Linked DNA regions of Macaca fascicularis. The protein of the gene in region 1 purifies or fractionates together with the protein of each later gene. This does not show direct contact. Links are inferred from orthologs where the notes say so. Each region holds a gene or a part of one and is shown in the gene's direction. Other genes may lie near its edges. The genes, in order: NHERF2, PLCB3, PHLPP2, LPAR2, BTB/POZ domain-containing protein KCTD5 and PHLPP1.

Region 1 (3,500 bases):
CCCCAGGTGGTGCAGAGGATCAAGGCTGTGGAGGGGCAGACCCGGTTGCTGGTGGTGGACCAGGAGACAGATGAGGAGCTCCGCCGGCGGCAGCTGACCTGCACTGAGGAGATGGCCCAGCGAGGGCTCCCGCCCGCCCACGACCCCTGGGAGCCAAAGCCAGACTGGGCACACATGGGTGGCCGCAGCTCCGACGCTGGCAAGAAGGTATGGCGGGCTCGGCCCGCAGGGACCACCCTCGCCTCTCCCAGAGGCTCTCTCGGCTTTCGACGACCATCTTTGCCTCTGATCACCTCCAGAAGTCTTGGTCTCTTCTGCCTTTTGGGGCCCCTTTTCTGCCCCAGGGACCATCCTGTTGGCTACTGGGGGCCACTCTTTCTACCCTCAGCCTGTGTTTTAAACTGGGTAGGGTCAGGGCAGCCTAGCCTGTTCCTCTTCTCCAGGACGCTCCAGAGCCCCTTGCCCTATCGAGGGGTTACTGTGACAAGCTGCCGCCTCCCCAGCCCCCAGCCTCATGGCTGAGGAGCCCTGGGAATAGACATTCTAGGTCTGCGTGTGCCCAGCTCCGTGCCTGTGTTGGGTGTCATCCGTGGCTCTGTCCTTGTCTCTCTCCAAGGAGCCTGTATGCTGGGAAGGCCTGGGAGAGGGCTGGCCGCCTCTGCAGGTTGGGGAAGCCTAGGAGGCCACTCTGCCAGGCCTGGCATGGGTGGGGCTGGGAGCATGGGAGTGGAGTTGGGGGGTCCAGGTGGCTCCAAGGTGAGCCCACTCCTCCCCTAAATATAAGGGAGGGCCCTGGGACCCTGTCTGCTGTTCCTTCTGGGCTCCTGCTGGGTAGCACTTCCTCCTTCCCCTGCCCCTGCTCCCAGCCAGGAGACCCAGAAAAGTACAGGGGCCGCCTGCTCCACCTCCTGCTAGGTGGCCGCTGGGAGGGGCCACCTGGCAGGCCTTGAGGGCTAGGAGGAACAGCCTGAAACTGTCTGTCCTGTCTTCCTGGAGGCCCTGATGGCATTGTCTCCATGCTCTCCTACCTTTTTTTTCATTTTCAAAGACATCCCTGGCCGGGCACGGTGACTCACACCTGTAATCCCAGCACTTTGGGAGGTCGAGGCAGGCGGATCACCTGAGGTCAGGAGTTTTGAGACCAGCTTGACTAATGTGGTGAAACCCGTCTCTACTTAAACTACAAAAATCAGCTGGGCTTGGCGGCGGGCGCCTGTAGTCCCAGCTACTCGGGAGGCTGAGGCAGGAGAATTGCTTGAATTCGGCAGGCAGCAGTTTCAGTGAGCCAAGATCCTGCCACTGCACTCCAGCCTAGGGGACAGAGCGAGACTGTCTCAAAAGAAAAGAAAAGAAAAGAAAAGAAAAGAAAAGAAATAAATCCCTTCAGGGGATTTGAGTCCAGGGGTTGGCCAGACCCCACTGTGAGAACCGTGCCTGAGGCAGGGGTGTGGGATCTCGAGTTTCTGAGGGTGCAGGGGATCTATATATTCACTTTCTCCCTTTCCCAAGTATCACTCCTGGAGCTGGCTGTGCCTGGGAGCTGAGCCCGGCGGGGGCATGTCTTGGCAGGGAGACGGCATTCCCTGTGGGGAGGGGGCACAGGCCTGGCCATGGGACCTGTGGGACCCGTTTTGTTCCTGGGGCTTGAGGGCAGGCCATGGTCGTGCTCAGGGCCAAGGTGCCCAGCCCAGGGCTGGTTGGGGGGCTGGCCTTGCAGGGGAGCAGGCTGGTCCCAGGCCCCTATCTCCAAGTTGAGGGTTGGGGCCTCCCTCTTTCCCAGGCACCCTGCCTCCCCCAGGAGGAAGCTCCGCCTCTACCTCAGGCGTTTGTCCATTGATTTGGACACAAATGCATGGTTCACCTTCCTGTGGAAAAATCTGGCCCTCGGACTTTATCTGGAGGGTGCGGTGGCCGAGGCACCTTGCCTTGGGTGGGACCTTCCCCCGTCTGCTATTTCAGGCTCTGGGGGCTGCAGGAAGCCCTAGGAGGAGCTTCCTCTGGGTATATTTTTAGAGGAACAAAGGGTGGCCTGAGTGGCAGGTCCCTTTGTGCATGAGTCTGGCTGGGGACAGGGGCTCCAGGAGGTCAGGGGACACCCAAGGAGCAGGGTCTCCCCTTCTGTCTTCTGGCATCGAGACCTGAGGTTTCTTTTTCTTTTCTTTCTTTTTTTTTTTTTTTTTTTTTTGAGACAGAGTCTCGCTCTGTAGCCCAGACTGGGGTGCAGTGGCCGGATCTCAGCTCACTGTAAGCTCCACCTCCTGGGTCCACACCATTCTCCTGCCTCAGCCTCCCGAGTAGCTGGGATTACAGGCGTATACCACCATACCTGGCTAATTTTTGTGTTTTTAGTAGAGACGGGGTTTCACCGTGTTGGCCAGGCTGGTCTGGAACTCTTGGGCTCAAGTGATCTGCCTGCCTCAGCCTCCCAAAGTGCTGGAGTGACAAGCGTGAGCCACCGCGCCTGGCTCGAGCCCTGAGGTTTGTTCACCTGAGCTCCCAGCGTGGACAGGAAGAATTGGGGCTCACTGGACCTCCGCAGAGCAGGTTCAGATCCTGCCCTGCTCAGCCTGGGTTCAGGGTGTGCCTGAGATGCTCAGGGAGCCCAGGAGGGCAAAGCCTACCTTGCGGGGATGGCTCCAGTGGGGGCGGTGGTGGCAGAGAGGCAGAGCCCTGGGAGGGTATGTAGCTTGGCTTTGGTGCAGGATGGAGAGGGCCCAACTCTGGGTGCCCCCTGGGAGCTAAGGGTGGTTCTCAGTGTCCTCTGTCCTGGCTGGGGATAGGGGAGGTGGGCAGGGGAGGACACTGATGTGGTCAGCCACTCCTTTTGGGGGTCATGAACGCCTAGTTAGTGATGACTCAGCCCTGGGCCACAGCAGGCTGGGGGTGGCCGCAGCTGCGGTGCAGCTGATCCTAGTAGTGATGACAGGGGACGGCCCCCAAACAGAGACGGGTGGCCAGCGGTGCCAGGCCCTAGAGGTGGTGGCAGACCCTGAGCCCTCTGCCCCCTGCCCCTAGCCCAGTCTCCACCTCCGTCTGGAGGGCCTTGGGGGCTAAGAGCAGGTGAGGGGTGACAGATCTGCGGGAGGCGGCTGTGTGGTTAGGGCGCGGTGCCTGTGGGGGCTTCCGGGCTCCTATGGCTCTTGTTCCTCTGGAACCTCAGCATGACAGTCCTGTGTTCTGGGGCTGGGACTCCTCCCTGTCCCCCCAGCCCTGGGTCCTGGGGCGGGCAGGGCCTTCCAGCAGCTTCCTTCCTTCCTTTCTTGGGACGGAAACCTAGCTGGGTGGGGGGCGCCGGGCTGGAGCCTTCTAAGGGGAGTGGGCTCAGTCATCACCCTGCTCCCCAGAGTGACTCAGCCCCTGCGTCTCCACCCATCCCCGGGGAGCCGGGGCCGCAGAGGGAGGTAGATAAGTGGGGTGGCAGCCTGGGTCAGCCAGAGAGTTCAGGCCACCCCGGCCGGACGCCTGCCACTCACTGCCGCTGTACTGCTGCCATGGCGCGC
Region 2 (3,500 bases), on another chromosome or scaffold:
AAGAGGTGATGTGATCTGATATGATATGTTCTTAGAAGGATGATTCCAGGTGCTCTGTAGAGACTGGATTCAGGCCAGGAGCAGTGACTCACGCCTGTAATCCCAGCACTTTGAGAGGCTGAGGTGTGTGGATCACCTGAGGTCAGGAGTTTGAGACCAGCCTGGCCAACATGGTGAAACCCTGTCTCTACTAAAAATACCAAAATTAACCAGGCATAGTGGTGGGCACCTGTAATCCCAGCTACTAGGGAGGCTGAGGCAGGAGAATCGCTTGAACCAAGGAGGCGGAGGTTGCAGTGAGCCAAGGTCCTGCCACTGCACTCCAGCCTGGGTGACCGAGTGAGATTCGGTCTCAGAAAAAAAACAAAGACAGAGAGATTGGATTGGAGGCAGGGAGGCCTGAGCCTTCCACACAGGAAGTGGTGTGAGCTGTGCCAGGGCCGAGATGGGTGGAGGGAGGGAGGAGAGGGGCGATTGTTGAGTCAGTGGGGAGCTATAGTGAGCCTCGGGGATGACTCCCCCAGCTCACGCTGGTGGGATGGTCAGGTGGTGGGTATCCATCTGAGAGATGGAGAGCCCTCTGCAAATCCAGCATGGCCTGGTTCCGGGTGGGGCCGGGATGGTGAGGAGCTGGGCTGGTGGGCGGCCTTGGTGACAGAGCCTTGCCCCTAGCTGGGCAGCTGGCCGGGACCTCGTCGGTGGAGATGTACCGCCAGGTGCTGCTGTGGGGCTGCCGCTGTGTGGAGCTGGATGTGTGGAAAGGACGGCCGCCCGAGGAGGAACCCTTCATCACCCATGGCTTCACCATGACCACGGAGGTGCCTCTGCGCGACGTGCTGGAGGCCATTGCCGAGACTGCCTTCAAGACCTCGCCCTACCCCGTCATCCTCTCCTTCGAGAACCACGTGGACTCGTGAGTGAGCCCCTGGCATGAAACCCCATGGACCCAGGGACAGCCCTCCCGCCTCAGCGCTGTTGGACTGCTCAGGGACCTCCAACCCTGTGAACCGCCACTGACCTGTCCTGTAGACCCCAGTTTCCCCTAGGGACCTCTGATCTCTGACCTCGGCTCCGCAGGGCAAAGCAGCAGGCAAAGATGGCTGAGTACTGCCGCTCCATCTTTGGAGATGCGCTACTCATCGAGCCTCTGGACAAGTACCCGGTACGGGGGCTCAGAGCGAGGGTGGGGGTATGCGGGCCACGGTGCTGTGGACCTGGTCCAGGGCCCTGACTCGTCCATGCCTGCCCAGCTGGCCCCAGGTGTTCCCCTGCCCAGCCCCCAGGACCTGATGGGCCGTATCCTGGTGAAGAACAAGAAGCGGCACAGACCCAGCACAGGTGGCCCAGACAGCGCCGGGCGCAAGCGGCCGCTGGAGCAGAGCAATTCGGCCCTGAGCGAGAGCTCCGCTGCCACTGAGCCCTCCTCCCCGCAGCTTGGTAGGCCCCAGCCTGGCCCGCCACCCTGACCTGACCCCAGCCTCTGGCCTCATGCTGTCGGCGCTGTGACACTTCATCCCAGACCCCCAGCCCACCCTCCCGCCTCGCTGTGCACCTGTTCCCACAACTGGCCTCTCTCCTCACCACCTGTTGGCTGGTGTGGGGCCTCTGACCCCTGACCTCAGGTGCATGCCTCACCGAGCTGCATTGAGTCCACCTGCCCAGTTAGTTATCATTTCAGCTCACCTCTGACCTCTTACCCCTGACGATTCACCTCACTATGCCCCCTCCTTAGACATGGCTGTGACTTACCCGTGACCTGTAACCCCTCTGTGTCATCTCTTACCCCGCTATTAAGGCTGGGGTACCCTACTTCCTGACTTCTCACCCTACTGAACCACCCTATCTGCCTCCCTGCTGAATATCACCCCAGACCTTTACCTTTGACCTATGACCCCTCTCAACCACTACTGGATTTAATACTGTCTGACCCCTGACCTCTTGGCCTCTCCCCAAGCCACACTTCTCTGAGAGTACCCCTTGAATTCCCCATTGAGTCACCTGCACACACTGGGAAAAACCCCTCCACGCTTCCTAAGCAGCTGTGTGGTCCTGACCCCTGACCTTGTGGCCCTGTCCTCTGCAGGGTCACCCAGCTCTGACAGCTGCCCAGGCCTGAGCAACGGGGAGGAGGGGGCCCTTGAGAAGCCCAGCCTGGAGCCTCGGAAGTCTTTGGGTGAGGAGGGCCTGAACCGGGGCCCCTATGCTCTTGGACCTGCTGACCGTGAGGATGAGGAGGAAGATGAGGAAGAGGAGGAGCAGACAGACCCCAAAAAGCCGACCACAGATGAGGTCAGGCCCAGAGGGCGGGCAGGTCGGGGAGGTAGCATCTATTTACCTCCCAAGCAGTTTATTACCTCCACTGGGGGCTGAGGGTCTGACCACCACCAAGACCGACATCACCCTGCGCCCTGGGGCTCAGTGTGGGTGTGAGTGAAGGTGGGAGGAGGGGTCTTCAGTCATCAGGAATGGAAACAAGCATACAGTTCTCCTGGTGATGTGGCCTGGGAGGTGTGAGTTAGGGCACAGAACTGGCAGAGGGCAGCCCTGGGCAGGGAGGTGGGGCTGGCAGAGCTCAGGAAGGGGGACAGCATGTGCAAAGGTCCTAGGGCAGAGCCAGGGGGTGCAGGAGCGGGGAGCGTTGAGTAGCTGTGAGGAGTGGTATAGAAAAAACCAGTCTGGGCCGGGCGCGGTGGCTCAAGCCTGTAATCCCAGCACTTTGGGAGGCCGAGACGGGCGGATCACGAGGTCAGGAGATCCAGACCATCCTGGCTAACACGGTGAAACCCCGTCTCTACTAAAAAATACAAAAAACTAGCCGGGCGAGGTGGCGGGCGTCTGTAGTCCCAGCTACTTGGGAGGCTGAGGCAGGAGAATGGCGTGAACCCGGGAGGCGGAGCTTGTAGTGAGCTGAGATCTGGCCACTGCACTCCAGCCTGGGCGACGGAGCGAGACTCCGTCTCCAAAAAAATCTGAGCCGGGCATGGTGGCTCACACCTGTAATCCCAGCTACTCGGCAGGCGGAGGTACGAGAATCCCTTGAACCTGGGAGGTGGAGCTTGCAGTGAGCTGAGATCGCGCCGTTGCTACGATTTTGTAGCCTGGGCTACAAAAGGAGACTCTGTCTCAAAAAAAAAAAAAAAAAAAAAAAAAAGACATTGCTATAAAGACAATTACTGGGGCAATTAGTGAAATTTAAAGATGAACTACATATTAGATAATATGTCAATGTTTTGTTTCCTGAATTTAATTATTGTATTGGAGTTATATAAGAGAATGTCCATATATGCTGAAGTATTTATGGGTAAAGGGTCATGATGTCTGTAATTTACTCCCAAATGATTCAGTAAAAGTAATAATTTTAACACCTATATGTGCTGGGCGAGGTGGCTCACACCTGTAATCCCAGCACTTTGGGAGGCCGAGGTGGGCGAGTCACCTGAGGTCAGGAGGTTCAAGACCAGCCTGGCCAACATGGTGAAACCCCCTCTCTACTAAAATTA
Region 3 (3,500 bases), about 66 Mb from region 1:
TACTCCCTAGTGGAATTACCAGAGTCTCTCATAAAAAGTTCTTACTAATGAAACCTTTAACATCTTAATTATAATACAATGGATATCAAGAAGAAACCCAAGAGATCCATTTTATAACAATGCCATCTCTGGGTAAGACAATACAGATACTTCTACTTCCATGAACAAAATAGAAGCTCTAAAAGTTACTATTTTGTGTATCAGGTCACATAATGGTAAAATGCTGTCACATTCATTATTTTCAAGCTCTAACTGGTTTATTCATTTTATGTGACATTTGAGCCAACATAATTTCAGTATGAAAAAAGAAGTTGCTTATTAAAAATGGGATTTGATCTACATATTTGTTAGCTGTTGCTCTATGAGTTGATTAATTCTTGCAAGGCTTTTGTGTATTACATGTAGAAATTTAATGAAAAATTTCAAGCATATCAAGTATGATGAAATACAAAAGAATTATACCAGCATGAGCTGTTCTTCAAGATTGTCTACCTTTTTAAAGAGAAAAGAGAGCTGTAATGCTAGACCTGGTTTCCTTCATCACATGGACTGTGCATTAGTCATCTTGGTGTCCTCTGTCCCCACTCAATGTTTGATGTGTAGCGAGTGCTCAATAAGTATTTTTGGAATAAATTCTATTATAGACATTTAAAATGGATTATCAAAGGCCATTGATGTCCCTCGTAAAGATATAGTAATAGATGTATTGAAATGCAGTATCCATTTTTGCCTTTGCTCTTTAGATTTTCTCAGCTGAAGGGCCTGAACTTGTCCCATAATAAACTTGGGTTGTTTCCTATATTATTATGTGAGATCTCTACCCTGACTGAGCTCAACCTTTCCTGTAATGGATTTCGTGACCTACCAAGTCAAATTGGCAATCTGCTAAAGTAAGTAACTTTTACTAGATTCATCTTTTCCCTTGCAGGATAAGGAACTTGCCTGGGGTTTGGAATGAAGGTAGTACTGTGAGCTCTTGCAGTGAAATAAATCATGTACTTACTAGGATTCTAGTCAGCAGCAGTTTTTGACATCATAGATCTACCTGCCTGTAGCAGGGACTGATCCCTCAGCTTCAACAGCAGAGGTCTTAACTCTTTTAATGTTGGGGTGACCATTTGTGTAAGTTATGTGTAAGTCATCTATTAAGTCTGTATAGATGGAGAGTTAGGACACTACTATTTTTGGATTGATAATTAGTGACATAAATCAGAATCCGTAACTCTGATTCTATGCATTCCAGTGAAACCTTCCATAAAGTAGACTTGTTTTGTTTTCTTCCTGTAGTCTTCAAACCCTCTGTCTTGATGGCAACTTTCTGACTACTTTACCTGAAGAACTGGGAAATCTACAACAGCTTTCCTCTTTGGGAATTTCGTTCAACAACTTTAGTCAAATTCCTGAGGTTTATGAGAAACTCACTATGTTAGATAAAGTGGTTATGGCAGGAAATTGCCTGGAAGTCCTGAACTTAGGGGTGCTGAATAGGATGAACCATATCAAGCATGTGGATTTAAGGTAAGGTTATTCTTTACCGCAGCTTCCTTTAAATTGACTCTGTTGGACCTTTATGTCTTCTCTTTATGAAGATTTGTTTAAGACATTAGGGTTTTTAAAATTTTGTTGTCGTTGTTTTGAGACAAGGTCTCACTTTGTCACTCAGGCTAGAATACAGTGGCACGATCTCAGCCCACTGCAGTCTTGACCTCCTGTTCTCAGGCGATTCTCCCACCTCAGCCTTCCAAGTAGTTGGGACTTCAGGTGCGCACCACTAGGCCTGGCTAATTTTTTTTCTATTTTTAGTAGAGACAGGGTTTCACCATGTTGTGCAGGCTGGTCTCAAATTCCTGGACTCGAGCAGTCCACCCACCTCAGCCTCCCAAAGTGCTGGGATTACAGGTGTGAGCTGCCATGCCTGGCCCGTAACATTAGGTGTTTTGAACAGTATAGAAATGTGTATTTTCAAAGGTATAGTAAGACTTTAGTTATCATTCAGTAGCAGAGAGATTCAGGATCATGTAGTTGTACCATGTGATAGAGACTATCAAATTGCCTTGGACAGAGGTTGTTTTTGCTCACCTTCCCATCAATGTATATTTTTTATTTTTTAAATTTTTTGTAGAGATGGAGTCTCACTGTGTTGCCCAAGCTGGTCTTGAACTCCCTGGCTCAAGTAATCCTCCTGCCTTGGCCTCCTAAAGTGTTGGGATTACAGGTGTAAGCCACTGTGCCCAACCCCTCCAACATTGTAGGAGAATTCCCATTTTCTCATATCTTTGTCAGTGTTGGATTTTAGCATTTCTTTTTCTTTATCATCAGTCTAGTAGATTGAAACAAGTATTTCATTGTTTTAATCAACATTTATTTACAGAGCAGTGAGGTTGAACATCTTTTTATATGTATGTTAGTAGTTTGTAGATTTCCATAAATGACATTTTTCTGTTGAGTCATTAGGTTTCTTCTTGATATCCATTGTATTACAATTAAAATGTTAAAGGTTTCATTACTAAGAACCTTTTATGAGGGTTTTATTTTCTAGTCATAACCTTTTCCTAATTGAAGCTGGTAAAAAGACACCTATTGGGTGTTCTGTAATTTACAGTAAACCATTGATGACCTTGTAAAGACAGTAACAGAGAGTTTTTGTTTTTGTTTTTTTAACCACACTGGAGACTTGAGAGATTTATAGAAATACAGGAAAGTGAGAACAGACCTGCATAAATTAAATCATATACTTGTACAGAAAAGAACTCAGAGGTCATTTTGTATAATTTACCTTTGAACTCTTCGGTATATGTGTGTGTGTGTGTATATATGTGTGTGTGTATATGTATATATACATACACAGATTATTTCCTTGTCTGTTAATTAATTTTATGTGAACCTTAGCACTAGAGATAGAGCAGGCATAGCAATAGGAGGAAGTATGGTTCTATCCTTATACTCTGGACATGGTACTGTTGTGACTGTTTTGCTACTGTCTCACTCAAAAGGTTGTGTTCATCTTCCTGTTCCTTTGTCCTACTTAGTGCCCACCTGACCTTATTAGGTGTTTGGATATAAGTGTTTAACTTGTTCAGGATATGGCCTCTTTTTTCCTTCTCTTTATTAGTTTGTATATGTATTTGCCAATCTGGATTGTCTGACTTAGCTGTACCTTGAGTTATTCATCAACTGTAGTTATTTATATAGTATCTTGCAAAATGAGGCAAGTAGTGAAATTCTTAAATTGTTTAGGAAACAGAGAAAGGGAGCTGGGCACGGTGGCTGACACCTGTAATCCCAGCATTTTGGGAGGCCGAGGTGGGCAGATCATCTGAGGGTAGGAGTTCAAGCCTGGCCAACATGGTAAAACCCCATCCCTACTAAAAATACAAAAAATTAGCTGGGCATGGTGGGGGTGCCTCTAATCCCAGCAACTTGGGTGGCTGAGGCAGGAGAATCACTTGAACCCGGGAGGCGGAGGTTGCAGTGAACCAAGATCACGCCATCGCACTCCA
Region 4 (4,054 bases), on another chromosome or scaffold:
TATTTAATACATGGCCTATGGGAGGCCTAAAACCCTTTCGGGGGCAATGTCCTGGAATCCCCCAACTGGACACAGGTCACTGCCAAGCATCAGGGCCACTCAGGCTCAGAGGTCACTCAGGGTCAATACTCAGGGTCAATACAGGTTATGAGATCCTGGGGGTTCACCCTAGTCTCCCACCCCTGGGACAGGGGTGCTTTTGCTACTTTGGTTGTGGTCACTCCCCCACACCTGCCTGCCCCCTTGGTGGACTCGAAGTGACCTTCCTGGAGGAGGTGGGCAGTGCAGACTCCACATCCTGGTGGTGCCTGGGGTCTGATGGCCTCTAATAAACTCTGTCCTGTATGCCCTTGGGTGCATCTCTGCTAGGGGAGAGGCCAGCACGGGCAGCACTCCTTTCCCCCGTTTTACCGATCACGGGAATCAAGACCTCTTTTTTTTTTTTTTGAGACAGAGTCTTTCTCTGTCGCCCAGGCTGGAGTACAGTGGTGCAATCTCGGCTCACTGCAACCTCTGCCTCCCGCGTTCAAGCGATTCTCTTGCCTCAGCCTCCCGAGTAGCTGGGACTACAGGCGCACGCCACCACGCCCAGCTAATTTTTTTGTATTTTTAGTAGAGACGGGATTTCACCATGTTGGCCAGGATGGTTTCGATCTCCTGATCTCGTGATCCGCCCGCATCGGCCTCCCAAAATGCTGGGATTACAGGTGTGAGCCACTGCGCCCGGCCTCAAGGCCTCCTTCTTGCATCATCAAACACCCTGCAGCATCTACCTAAAGGCAGTTGGGGCTGGGCCGCAGCACCCGGCTGAGTCACGCCAGCCCGGCCCTCCCGGAGCTCTGCGTCCCCGATCTGGTCCTGCATAATCAAATACAGTATAACAAAGTGCAGATAACCGGGACAATGGGGCTGTGTGCTCCGGACCGTGGGAGCCCGGGGCCGCCGCAGGGAGGCGGAGGGAGGAAGCCACAGGGCAGGGCAGGGCCGGGCTTTGCAGGGGGCAGCGCTGTCCCAGGGTGAGGGGTACGGGGGCGGGATTGCAAAACCCTAGTTTGCGCCCGATGATCAGCTGGGGCCGCAGGCGTGGGCCTCGCACAGGAGGCCGCGGCGCGCTGTAGCTGCGAGCTGGGAAAGCCGAGGATGGGCGGGGGTCCGGGCGGTGGGAGCCAAGTCGGATCAGGGAGTGGCTTGTAACTCGGCGGCCCATTGGACACGAAGAAGAGAGCGGGGTGGGGCTGGGAGGGTTGGGGGTCCGGAGAAGGGGCGCGGACCCAAGACCACCTGGAGCTCCGCCCGGGCTGCGCGGAGTCGCGGCGGGAATTTTGGGGTCGCCGGGTGACTCAGCCCCGCAGGCTCGAAACTGCGGGCGCGTGAGGTGTGCAGGGGCCGGGGTGGGGGTCCCGCGCCGGAAATAGAGGCGACCGAGGGGCCGCGAGGCGGGGAGGAAATAGGGGGGCTGCGGTTCCGGGCGACACCGCCCCCGACGCGGCCGCGGAGGCGGGGCTCCCCCAGGTGGCAGGGCGGGACTCCCCCAGGTGGCAGGGGCGGGGCGCCGGGGAGACCCCGCCTCCCGCGCCCTCTCAGCAGCCCACGCAGGGCGCACCCGGACGCTCCACCGCTCCCGCCGCGGTCGCCGGGCCATGGGCCTCGAGCCCGCCCCGAACCCCCGCGAGCCCGCCTTATCTGCGGCGTGACGGGAGGCCCAGGTGAGGCCGGCACGGACGGGAGGCGGGCGGGTGCGGGCCTGGGCCGGGGGGAAGGGCGCGGCACGTGCCTGCGGGGCCAGGACGCCGCCCCCTGATCCCTGAACCCCCTACCCCTTCCCCAGTCTGGAGACGCCTGGAGGCCCGGCCAGCTGTCCCTTCCCCAACCGCTGTCTTTGTCCCGGAGACCGCCAGTGTCCTCCGTCCCACCCGGAACAGCCTATTGCCCCGCCCGCTTGGGAAGCACTCGCGCCCAAATCCGGCAGACCAACTTCTGGGACCGACTCTCTGTCCACTCCGATCACCTCCACGCCTCGGCACCGCTCCCTCGCAGGGTCCTAGCAAGTGACCTCACTCTTGTGGGCACATGCTCCCGGGTCTCTGCTCCCCACACTGACTCCAGCACCTAAGTGACCCTCCCTCATCTCGTCCCGCAGCTCACACCCCTTTGTCTTGCCTCTCCCTACAGCCCAAACCGGGTCACACATTGGCGGCAGGTGGGCTGGGATTCGACCATACATGGGTTTTGTTTCACTTCTTCTGGTTCAAAACCCTGTTGACTTGGGTTATGTCTTGACACAGGTCTTATTAGTAGGTAAGAAACAGCAGCTCCTCCACCCCCACCCCAGCCCCATGGAGCTTGCTTTTTCCAGGCTACCGTGGTCCTCACCACTGCCACTTTGCTCTGAGGCATCTGAATTCAAGACCCTTGTCCTTCCTTGTCCTCTGTAGCTGCCGCCCCTCCCTGTGTCCTTCCAAGAAGCGCCACATGCACTGATCTCTTGTGTCCCCAGATGGTCACCATGGGCCATTGCTACTACAACGAGACCATTGGCTTCTTCTATAACAACAGTGGCAAGGAGCTCAGCTCTCACTGGCGGCCCAAGGATGTGGTCGTGGTGGCACTGGGGCTGACCGTCAGCGTACTGGTGCTGCTCACCAATCTCCTGGTCATAGCAGCCATCGCCTCCAACCGCCGCTTCCACCAGCCCATCTACTACCTGCTAGGCAACCTGGCCGCAGCTGACCTCTTCGCGGGCGTGGCCTACCTCTTCCTCATGTTCCACACTGGTCCCCGCACAGCCCGACTTTCACTTGAGGGCTGGTTCCTGCGGCAGGGCTTGCTGGACACAAGCCTCACTGCGTCGGTGGCCACACTGCTGGCCATCGCTGTGGAGCGGCACCGCAGTGTGATGGCCGTGCAGCTGCACAGCCGCCTGCCCCGTGGCCGCGTGGTCATGCTCATTGTGGGCGTGTGGGTGGCTGCCCTGGGCCTGGGGCTGCTGCCCGCCCACTCCTGGCACTGCCTCTGTGCCCTGGACCGCTGCTCGCGCATGGCACCCCTGCTCAGCCGCTCCTATTTGGCCGTCTGGGCTCTGTCGAGCCTGCTTGTCTTTCTTCTCATGGTGGCTGTCTACACCCGCATTTTCTTCTACGTGCGGCGGCGAGTGCAGCGCATGGCAGAGCACGTCAGTTGCCACCCCCGCTACCGAGAGACCACGCTCAGCCTGGTCAAGACTGTCGTCATCATCCTGGGTGAGTGGGGCCCTCAGGGGGCAACAGGCACCCTGCTTCCCCCTGTTTCCCACAAGATGCTTCGAAGCAATTAACAAAACAAGCTACCTGATAGAGGGTGATAGGGGGAAGACTTAGGTGGGGAATGTTCTCCAGGGAGGTCATATATGAGCAGAGGCCTGAATGCTGAGGATAGGAACAGAGAGAGTTCCAGGCAGAGGAAACAAAGTAAAAACCTAAAGGCAGTACCAGGCCAGAGCCTCTAAAGAGGAAAGCGGGCTTGTGAGGAGGAGAGTTCGGCAAGGCCTTAAGGGGCACAGACAGGAGTCATATTTTGAGTTTCGTGGGAAGCCCTTGAGAGTTTTTAGCAGTGCTGGCCGGGTGCAGTGGCTCACGCCTGTAATCCCAGCACTTTGGGAGGCTGAGGCGGGCGGATCAACTGAGGTTGGGAGTTGGCAACCAGCTTGACCAACATGGAGAAATCCCGTCTCTACTAAAAATACAAAATTAGCCAGGTGAGGTGGAGGTTTTTGAAACTCCATCTCAAAAAAAAAAAAGTTTTTAGCAGTGCTAAGCCTGGTTTAACAAAAAGCCTTTAAATTATTTTTTAATCTATATGTATTTTTAAATTATTATTATTATTATTATTATTATTATTTTGAGACTGAGTCTCGCTCTGTCACCCAGGCTGGAGTGCAGTGGCGCAATCTCGGCTCACTGCAACCTCTGCCTCCCAGGTTCAAGTGATTCTCCTGCTTCAGCCTCCTGAGTAGCTGGGACTACAGGTGCATGCCACTACGCCTGGCTAATTTTTGTATTTTTGGTAGAGATGGGGT
Region 5 (3,500 bases), about 680 kb from region 1:
AAGGGTGGTATCTCTGTGCCATCACCTGGACTGTGCCTGCTGCTGCCAGCTGCCGTGTTCCATTCTGAGTGGTGGTGGTGCAGGGACGGCACCCACACGCGTGGGCCCAGGCTGGCCTGCCTGTGTGCTGTAGTGCTGGCTTGGCTCAGAACAGCCCGAGGCCTTGCCATGAAGACTGAGGGTTTCTGGGCACCTGCGTGCAGGCGTGGCCCTGCTCCCCGGCGTCCGTGTCTGTGCATCGGTCTGTACTGGGCAGCGTCTCACTCCGTTTTTGCTCTGGGTCTCTGGGCCTCGGCATCTGCCTGCCTCCTCCGAGTTCACGCGGGGCGCGGGGTGACGGGAGCTGTGGCCCAGCCCTGCTCCCGCTCTGAGACTGTGACCCACGCTGCCCACTCCTGTCTTTTTGGCAGGCAATGTCTTTCATATGCGCTCTCTCTGGTCACCTGGGCAGCCCCTTGTGTTCTGCCATGGAGCCGTTTGAGTCCAGGCTTCACTTTATCTCAGTCTGCCCCTAGTGGGATTGGCTCAGAAACAGGCGCTAGACACAAACCGCCTGGGCTCGCTGGCCCGCCTCTAACCCGCCTCCGACGCAGCCACTCGCCCTCGGTGCTGGACAAGGGGGCTGTGCGGGACCCGTGCAGGGCTGGGAAGCCTGTGACTCTGAGGCTCTCATCTCTATCCTGTGTGGCCCTGTGCTATGTAGGTGGCGGGGTGTTGTCCTGAGCTGCCATGTCCCATGTGTGGGTTCCTCTGGAGACCACCCATGAGGAAGCCCTGAGGCTAGACCTGTGGAATCTGCTCTTAAGGCTCTTAAGGGAGGTGTGCAGTCCCTAATGCGGCACATTTAGGATGGCAGACTTTGGGAAGAGCTGGAAGTGACCCTCTCAGCCAGCCACAGTCTTCCCTTTGAATGGGGTAAACTGAGGTGCCAGGTGACTGAGACATATGCACAAGGCTGCAGGCCTGAGCCCCACACAGCACCCCACCCAGTGGCGTGGCCGTGAGCAGGTTCCCAACAGGAAGCCTTGGCCTCCAGGCTTGGAGGGAAAATGCCAGATCCCACCCCTTGCATGCCGTGGCCTCAGTTTAGGCATGCACTGAGCTGCATGTAACCAGCGACTCCATACCTGGCGGGCCACTGGAGGTTGCTCGAAGTTGCCTAGGGTGACCTGAGCTGGAGGTATTTAGTCCACACGTCGGCCCTCTCGCCACAGCCCCTCCACCCATAATCCTGGAACCCCGCAGGGCTAACGTGTCTGCAGGAAGCCTGTTAGGATGGGGCCTGAGCAGCTCACGCTGGGCCGAGCCATGGGTCCTCATTGCAGGGGATTCTTTGGTTTCGTTTGGTTTAGTATAGACAATTTATTTTTCTTTATTCCAGGAGTATTGGAGGAAGCAGAATTTTACAATATCACCTCGTTAATAAAACTTGTAAAGGACAAAATTAGAGAACGAGACAGCAAAACATCACAGGTAAGAGAAATAACTAAGGCTAGAAACTTTTATGGCTGGTGTGAAGGAATGGCTCCCTCTTACTCCCCCGATCGGCTGCCTCCCACATGAGTCCTGCAGTCTGGGGCTCCCCTGCCCTGAGACCCTTGTCCTCTGTCACCACCCCAGTGCCCGCCAGCTCCGTCTACAGCCTCGCCCCAGGGTCCCTTGAAGGATCCGTTCAGCCTGCCCGGCCCAGCCTCTGGGAGCCCCCAAAGGATGGTTGTAAGGCAGTTGGGCATGGGAGACGCGTGGAGGGAAGGAGGGCCCCATGAGGGCTGGTCGGGGAGACCCTGAGGTGGATGGCATCTTGTAGGGAGCAGAGGGTGCCAAGGGCCTGCAGCTAGCATGACTGGAGGGAGACAGCAGAGGGGTCATGTGGATCTGCACAGGCGTCAGAAGGACCTTGGTTTTATTGGGAAGAGGGGCGAGTCGCCACAGACAGACCTCTCACACCTAGCGCAGCCCTTCTGCAGCCCGGGGAGCCCAGGTTGTTGGTGGGCTGTGCCCAGTACCTCCTGTGGAGGGGCCACTGCTGGGCCTTGGGCATCAGTCTTGTCCCTGAGAGCTGAGCCTGCCCCGGCCCCAGCTTAGCATCCTTGGGAAGGCACCAGGAGTGGGTGTGGGCCACACTGTGGCTGTAGCTGCCATCAGAAGTCTCGGTCCACTTAGAGCCCTGGGCCCTATGCAGAGACTCCTAGCCTGGCCGCTCAGGGCCACTGGCCACCTAGCGACATGCCCAGTTCCCCCTCCTGCTGGAGTTCCCTTGGCACCACTGAGGGATCTGGAGGGGCTCCTTATCTGTGGGGCAGGAGCTGTGTCCCACACCCTGGGTCACCTTGTCCAGCCTGCTTTTTTCCCTGTTGTGTGACCGGGCTGTGTGGGTGCTCCCTGCCTCAGTCTACCTGCCCGTATGACGCAGGTGGGTGAGAAATGGTGCAGGTGGGAGAGTCCTTGCAGTCCAGTCTTGCTGTGACACACAGTAGCATCTTACTGTCTTGCAGAAGAAGGCACTCGGTTGTGTGACCTCGAGGCCACTGTGTGCCTTTGTCACTCATACATCCCTGGCATGAGTCACCATCTTAAGGTCAAGGACCAAGGATCCCTGAACCCTTTCTCACTGCTGTGTTTCCATCCAGCTCTGTCTGCAGCCGGAGTCCTCTGTAATGACTGTGTCTGGGACATGGGGCCGCCCTGCCCACTGGGGAGCAGCTCCATGCAGGCGGGTGGCCCTGGTGGCTCACCATCACTTCCAGGACCACAGCTGCCTAGAGGGGCATAGCAAGTGTGCCAGGCAGGTGGGGGATTAGGAGGTGGATGGAGTTTTGGGAAGCAGCGCAGCCTTGGGGAGGCCTGAGTCCAGGCTGCTGTGGAAGTTCAGGAGCCTCTTCTGGTAGCCGGGAGTGAGCTTTGTCTGCCACTGGCTCTCAGGGCCCTGCCTGCCAGAGCCTTTCCTGACCAGTGAATTCAGGGCTGCATGGTTCCTGCGTGCGGAGCAGAAATGGACGCTCTCGTGTCGTCATGTGGAGCCACAGGTGCTCTTGGGATTTCAGGAACATGACTCATTTTATTTTGGAACTTAGAAATAGAAATATTTTTGGAGGCGAACGAGGAAGCAGAAAACAGCAGCTGTTCGGGCCGCGTGTTTTGATTTTGTGGATGTGCTCAGGGTTGCTTTGGGCCTCGTGCCCTGCGCTGAGAACTGGAGAGTGAACCTCAGCCTCCCTGGGTCACCTGGGCTGGGGCCACAGGCAGCAGCGGGACATGGGTGGCCCGCCCTTACTTGTGCCCATTGTTCTTGCAGGTGCCTGTGAAGCATGTGTACCGCGTGCTGCAATGCCAGGAGGAGGAGCTCACGCAGATGGTGTCCACCATGTCTGACGGCTGGAAGTTTGAGCAGGTGAGGGGTCGTGGCCAGGCTGGCGGCAGCCATGCTGCAGCTGAACTTGTACTCACAGTGGCTCAGGGCTCAGTGCTCCTGGAAATGCAGACTTCGCTGCTGGCGTCTT
Region 6 (3,500 bases), on another chromosome or scaffold:
TGCCTCAGTCTCCTGAGTAGTTGGGACTGCAGGCGCGCGCCACCATGCTCAGCTAATTTTTGTATTTTTAGTAGAGACAGGGTTTCACCATGTTGGCTAGGCTGGTCTCAAACTCCTGACCTCAGGTGATCCACCTGCCTCAACCTCCCAAAGTGCTGGGATTACAGGTGTGAGCCACCGCACCCGGCCAGAGTGTCATTGTTTTCTATTTTGGCGATTCTTTTAATATCTGGCTGGATTCTCATATCTCTTTCTGTGTTCCATCAGGTGTGCTATTACAAAAGCAGGTACTGTCTGGAACTCTACTGAAATACGAGTGACAGGTGTGGGGAAGAAAGTGGCACAAAGCAAGTAACATCTTAGTATTGTTATAAAAATAGTTTGACCATATGGATCTTCTGAAAGGGTCTCGGGTGCCTCTTCTGGGGTCCCCCAAGCATGCTTTTAGAATCACTGGACTAGGAATAAGAGACTGTAATTCTAGCTTGTGTTTTTGCGGTGATTATAAATAATCAGAATAGAGGGTAGGCTGTTTGTTTTTTGTTTTTTGTTTTTTTTTTTTTTTTGAGATAGAGTCTCGCTCTGTCGCCCAGGCTGGAGTGCAGAGGTATGATCTCGGCTCACCACAACCTCCGTCTCCTGGGTTCAAGCAATTCTTCTGCCTCAGCCTCCTTCATAGCTGGAAGTACAGGTGCCTGCCAACATGGCTGGCTAATTTTTTTTGTATTTTTAGTAGAGACGAAGTTTCACCATGTTGGCCAGGCTGGTCTTGAACTCCTGACCTCAAGTGATCTGCCCACCTTGGCCTCCCAAAGTGCTGGGATTACAGGCATGAGCCACTGCACCCGGCTGAGGATAAGCATTCTTTTAAGAAGGACTGATGGCTCTAATATAAAACAGTTTAAGAACGATTATTCAGATTTAGCAATAATTTTTTCCTAAGTGATTTTTTTTTTTAAAATACTATTCTATTATACTCAGCCATCCAAGTAAACAGGTATTATTTAAAAATCAAGGTAACACTCAACCTGTCAAATAGGTACATTGTCAACTTTCCCTTTAGAATCAACTTTTATTTAACTATTTAGAATACAGCTTAACATATGCTGATTGGGTTGAATTGCGTTTATTTTTGCAGTGTGTGTGTCTCTTCTAGGCAGAGTGCATACTGTCTAGTATTAGATGTGGGTAATCTAGTTTTTAAAGGAATTAGCATAACGCAGTCACTGATCTGATTCTTATCTCATTTAGAGATGGTGTAGAGGTCGTTGATAGGCCAAATGTAAGAGTGCACAGAGAAGTAAAAAATGAAAGATAGCTTCTTTAATTGCTTAAGTTGCTTGGGCAACTGTGAAAATGAAAGGGCTATTAACAAAAATAGAACAAAAAGAAGTGCCAGTTTGGAATAAAGATGGTAAGTTCAGTTTTGGGCTGGAAATGTGGGGTAGCTCAGGAGAGGAGCCAGCATGTGACAGGACTGAGAGAATTGTTCACATAGGAGTCAAAACATTTCCAAGGAAAACAGTGTAGAGAGAGCATGAAACTGATAAAAAAAAAAAAAACTATCTATGAAGATTACTTCAGTTTGAGTTGGGGAAGAAAAGATGAAGAAAAGGAAGTTAATACAGGAGAAGAGGGCTTAAGAGAGCTAAGAAGAAGGGTGGGTGGTCAGCCGCATCAGTCAATTACTGTACTGAGATCGACGAATGATAATTGGTTCTTTTTTGAGATAGAGTCTCACTGTGTCACCAGGCTATATATTCCAGGAGAGCAGTCTCAGCTCACTGCAACCTCCACCTCCCAGAGATTCTCTTGTGTCTCAGCCTCTCGAGTAGCTGAGATTACAGGCATGCACCACCATGCCCAGCTAATTTTTTGTGTTTTTGGTAGAGACAGGGTTTCACCATGTTGTCTAGGCTGGTCCCGAACTCCTGGTCTCAAGTGATCCACTCATCTCGGCCTCCCAAAGTGCTAGGATTACAGGCCTGAGCCACCGTGCCCAGCTGATAATTGGTTGTTAAATTTGGAACTGCAAAGTCCTGGTTACCTTAGAGAGAGTATTGTTTTGATAAGTTTTTATTATTTCACTTTTGGGTTTGAGAAACATGAAACAGAAGTTTTTGACTTGTCTGGAACAGCACAGATTCCAGAAGGACTAACTCCAGCTCTGACTGGTCCCTTTCCTCCTTCACTGGGGCCATTTACACTGTGTTAATTAAGCTAATTGAGATACTGCTAAAAAACTTACTCCAGCAGAATTCACTTCCTGAAATATTCAACCTTATTTTAGAGGGAAAAGTTTGTTTTTAGATAGAATGTTTACATTTTAGGTAGAGCACTGGCCTTAGAGTCAGCAGATGTGCATTCCAGCGCTGCTGCTCCTTAACCTCTCTGGGGCCCCCATTTCCTCTTCAGTTGAATTTGGGAGTTGGGCTAGATTATCTCTTAGGCTATGCTAAAATTATGATGTTAGTGACATTTGTCTCTTTTTTCCCTTTTGGTTTTGCTTTATTTTAATAGGTTCACCAAGTTGAAGAGTCTTAATCTTTCCAATAATCATTTAGGGGACTTCCCACTAGCAGTCTGCAGTATTCCAACCCTGGCAGAGCTGAATGTGTCCTGCAATGCCCTGCGATCGGTCCCAGCAGCCGTTGGAGTGATGCACAAGTGTGTACCTCAAACCCCACTGGCGGGTATATCCAGAGACCCCAGGGAAGCTGCATTGGGGGTGTAGCACATGAGATTAGTTAACTTGTTATGTTGGTCATGTAAGTCTTGGCCCCAAATCAACAGATCAGGGACTGTATAGTCTGTATGGAGTTCATGTGTTAGATTTGTATTCTTTACGATCTTGTAAAAAATTAAATATTCTTGTTTAGAACTGAAGATCCCTGCAAATGAGTATGTCTAAACATGGAATGTGGGTTATGTTCTCATTTTTCTGAGTTATATTGAATTCAAAGACTTAGAAATTAATTTTGAGAAATAATAAGGAAAGCCCAAAGGATATCTGAATCAATTTATATCACAGTTAGCTCATGTTGCTCCCATTTAAGCCTATTCAGATTGGGAAAGCTAGTCATAATTTTCATTTTCAATAAAAGATTAAGATGCTTATCTCTGATTATTTCTCTTTGGTCCGTTATTGCCTCAGGCCCTGCCCTTAGGCATTTTGCAAAGAGTAATACATTTTCTGGTAATACGATCTACACTATGGAACTTGTATGTTGATAATAAAGATGTAAAATTTATACATTCTCTTTGTAATTCTTATGTTTTCTCTAATAGCTTACAGACATTTTTGTTGGATGGAAACTTTCTCCAAACCCTTCCTGCTGAGTTGGAGAACATGAAGCAGCTTAGTTATCTGGGTCTTTCTTTCAATGAATTTACTGACATTCCAGAAGTATTGGAGAAATTGACTGCTGTGGATAAACTTTGTATGTCCGGAAACTGTATGGAGACCCTTAGGCTACAGGCTTTAAGAAAAATGCCTCACA

Evidence for each region.
Region 2: the proteins of NHERF2 (region 1) and PLCB3 purify together in Homo sapiens (co-immunoprecipitation; 3 studies listed by BioGRID and IntAct, with this or other methods). This does not show direct contact. The link is inferred for Macaca fascicularis from reciprocal best matches to the Homo sapiens genes NHERF2 and PLCB3.
Region 3: the proteins of NHERF2 (region 1) and PHLPP2 purify together in Homo sapiens (affinity purification with mass spectrometry; 3 studies listed by BioGRID and IntAct, with this or other methods). This does not show direct contact. The link is inferred for Macaca fascicularis from reciprocal best matches to the Homo sapiens genes NHERF2 and PHLPP2.
Region 4: the proteins of NHERF2 (region 1) and LPAR2 purify together in Homo sapiens (affinity purification with western blotting; 3 studies listed by BioGRID and IntAct, with this or other methods). This does not show direct contact. The link is inferred for Macaca fascicularis from reciprocal best matches to the Homo sapiens genes NHERF2 and LPAR2.
Region 5: the proteins of NHERF2 (region 1) and BTB/POZ domain-containing protein KCTD5 purify together in Homo sapiens (affinity purification with mass spectrometry; 3 studies listed by BioGRID and IntAct, with this or other methods). This does not show direct contact. The link is inferred for Macaca fascicularis from reciprocal best matches to the Homo sapiens genes NHERF2 and KCTD5.
Region 6: the proteins of NHERF2 (region 1) and PHLPP1 purify together in Homo sapiens (affinity purification with mass spectrometry; 3 studies listed by BioGRID and IntAct, with this or other methods). This does not show direct contact. The link is inferred for Macaca fascicularis from reciprocal best matches to the Homo sapiens genes NHERF2 and PHLPP1.

The regions. Positions count from the first base shown.
Region 1 is NC_088394.1:2,797,847-2,801,346, forward strand, and holds part of NHERF2 (Na(+)/H(+) exchange regulatory cofactor NHE-RF2), read left to right. Parts: intron 1-6; coding exon 7-207; intron 208-3,433; exon of another isoform or gene 3,434-3,500.
Region 2 is NC_088388.1:10,136,108-10,139,607, reverse strand, and holds part of PLCB3 (1-phosphatidylinositol 4,5-bisphosphate phosphodiesterase beta-3), read left to right. Parts: intron 1-672; coding exon 673-913; intron 914-1,077; coding exon 1,078-1,162; intron 1,163-1,250; coding exon 1,251-1,437; intron 1,438-2,083; coding exon 2,084-2,289; intron 2,290-3,500. UniProt on the Homo sapiens protein: Catalyzes the production of the second messenger molecules diacylglycerol (DAG) and inositol 1,4,5-trisphosphate (IP3).
Region 3 is NC_088394.1:68,692,614-68,696,113, forward strand, and holds part of PHLPP2 (PH domain leucine-rich repeat-containing protein phosphatase 2), read left to right. Parts: intron 1-743; coding exon 744-890; intron 891-1,287; coding exon 1,288-1,518; intron 1,519-3,500. UniProt on the Homo sapiens protein: Protein phosphatase involved in regulation of Akt and PKC signaling.
Region 4 is NC_088393.1:20,065,929-20,069,982, reverse strand, and holds the start of LPAR2 (lysophosphatidic acid receptor 2), read left to right. Parts: upstream 1-1,254; 5' UTR 1,255-1,375; intron 1,376-1,567; exon of another isoform or gene 1,568-1,706; intron 1,707-1,828; 5' UTR 1,829-2,497; coding exon 2,498-3,239; intron 3,240-4,054. UniProt on the Homo sapiens protein: Receptor for lysophosphatidic acid (LPA), a mediator of diverse cellular activities. Seems to be coupled to the G(i)/G(o), G(12)/G(13), and G(q) families of heteromeric G proteins. Plays a key role in phospholipase C-beta (PLC-beta) signaling pathway.
Region 5 is NC_088394.1:3,481,181-3,484,680, forward strand, and holds part of BTB/POZ domain-containing protein KCTD5, read left to right. Parts: intron 1-1,381; coding exon 1,382-1,473; intron 1,474-3,295; coding exon 3,296-3,391; intron 3,392-3,500. UniProt on the Homo sapiens protein: Its interaction with CUL3 suggests that it may act as a substrate adapter in some E3 ligase complex. Does not affect the function of Kv channel Kv2.1/KCNB1, Kv1.2/KCNA2, Kv4.2/KCND2 and Kv3.4/KCNC4.
Region 6 is NC_088392.1:17,942,079-17,945,578, reverse strand, and holds part of PHLPP1 (PH domain leucine-rich repeat-containing protein phosphatase 1), read left to right. Parts: intron 1-2,520; coding exon 2,521-2,667; intron 2,668-3,288; coding exon 3,289-3,500. UniProt on the Homo sapiens protein: Protein phosphatase involved in regulation of Akt and PKC signaling.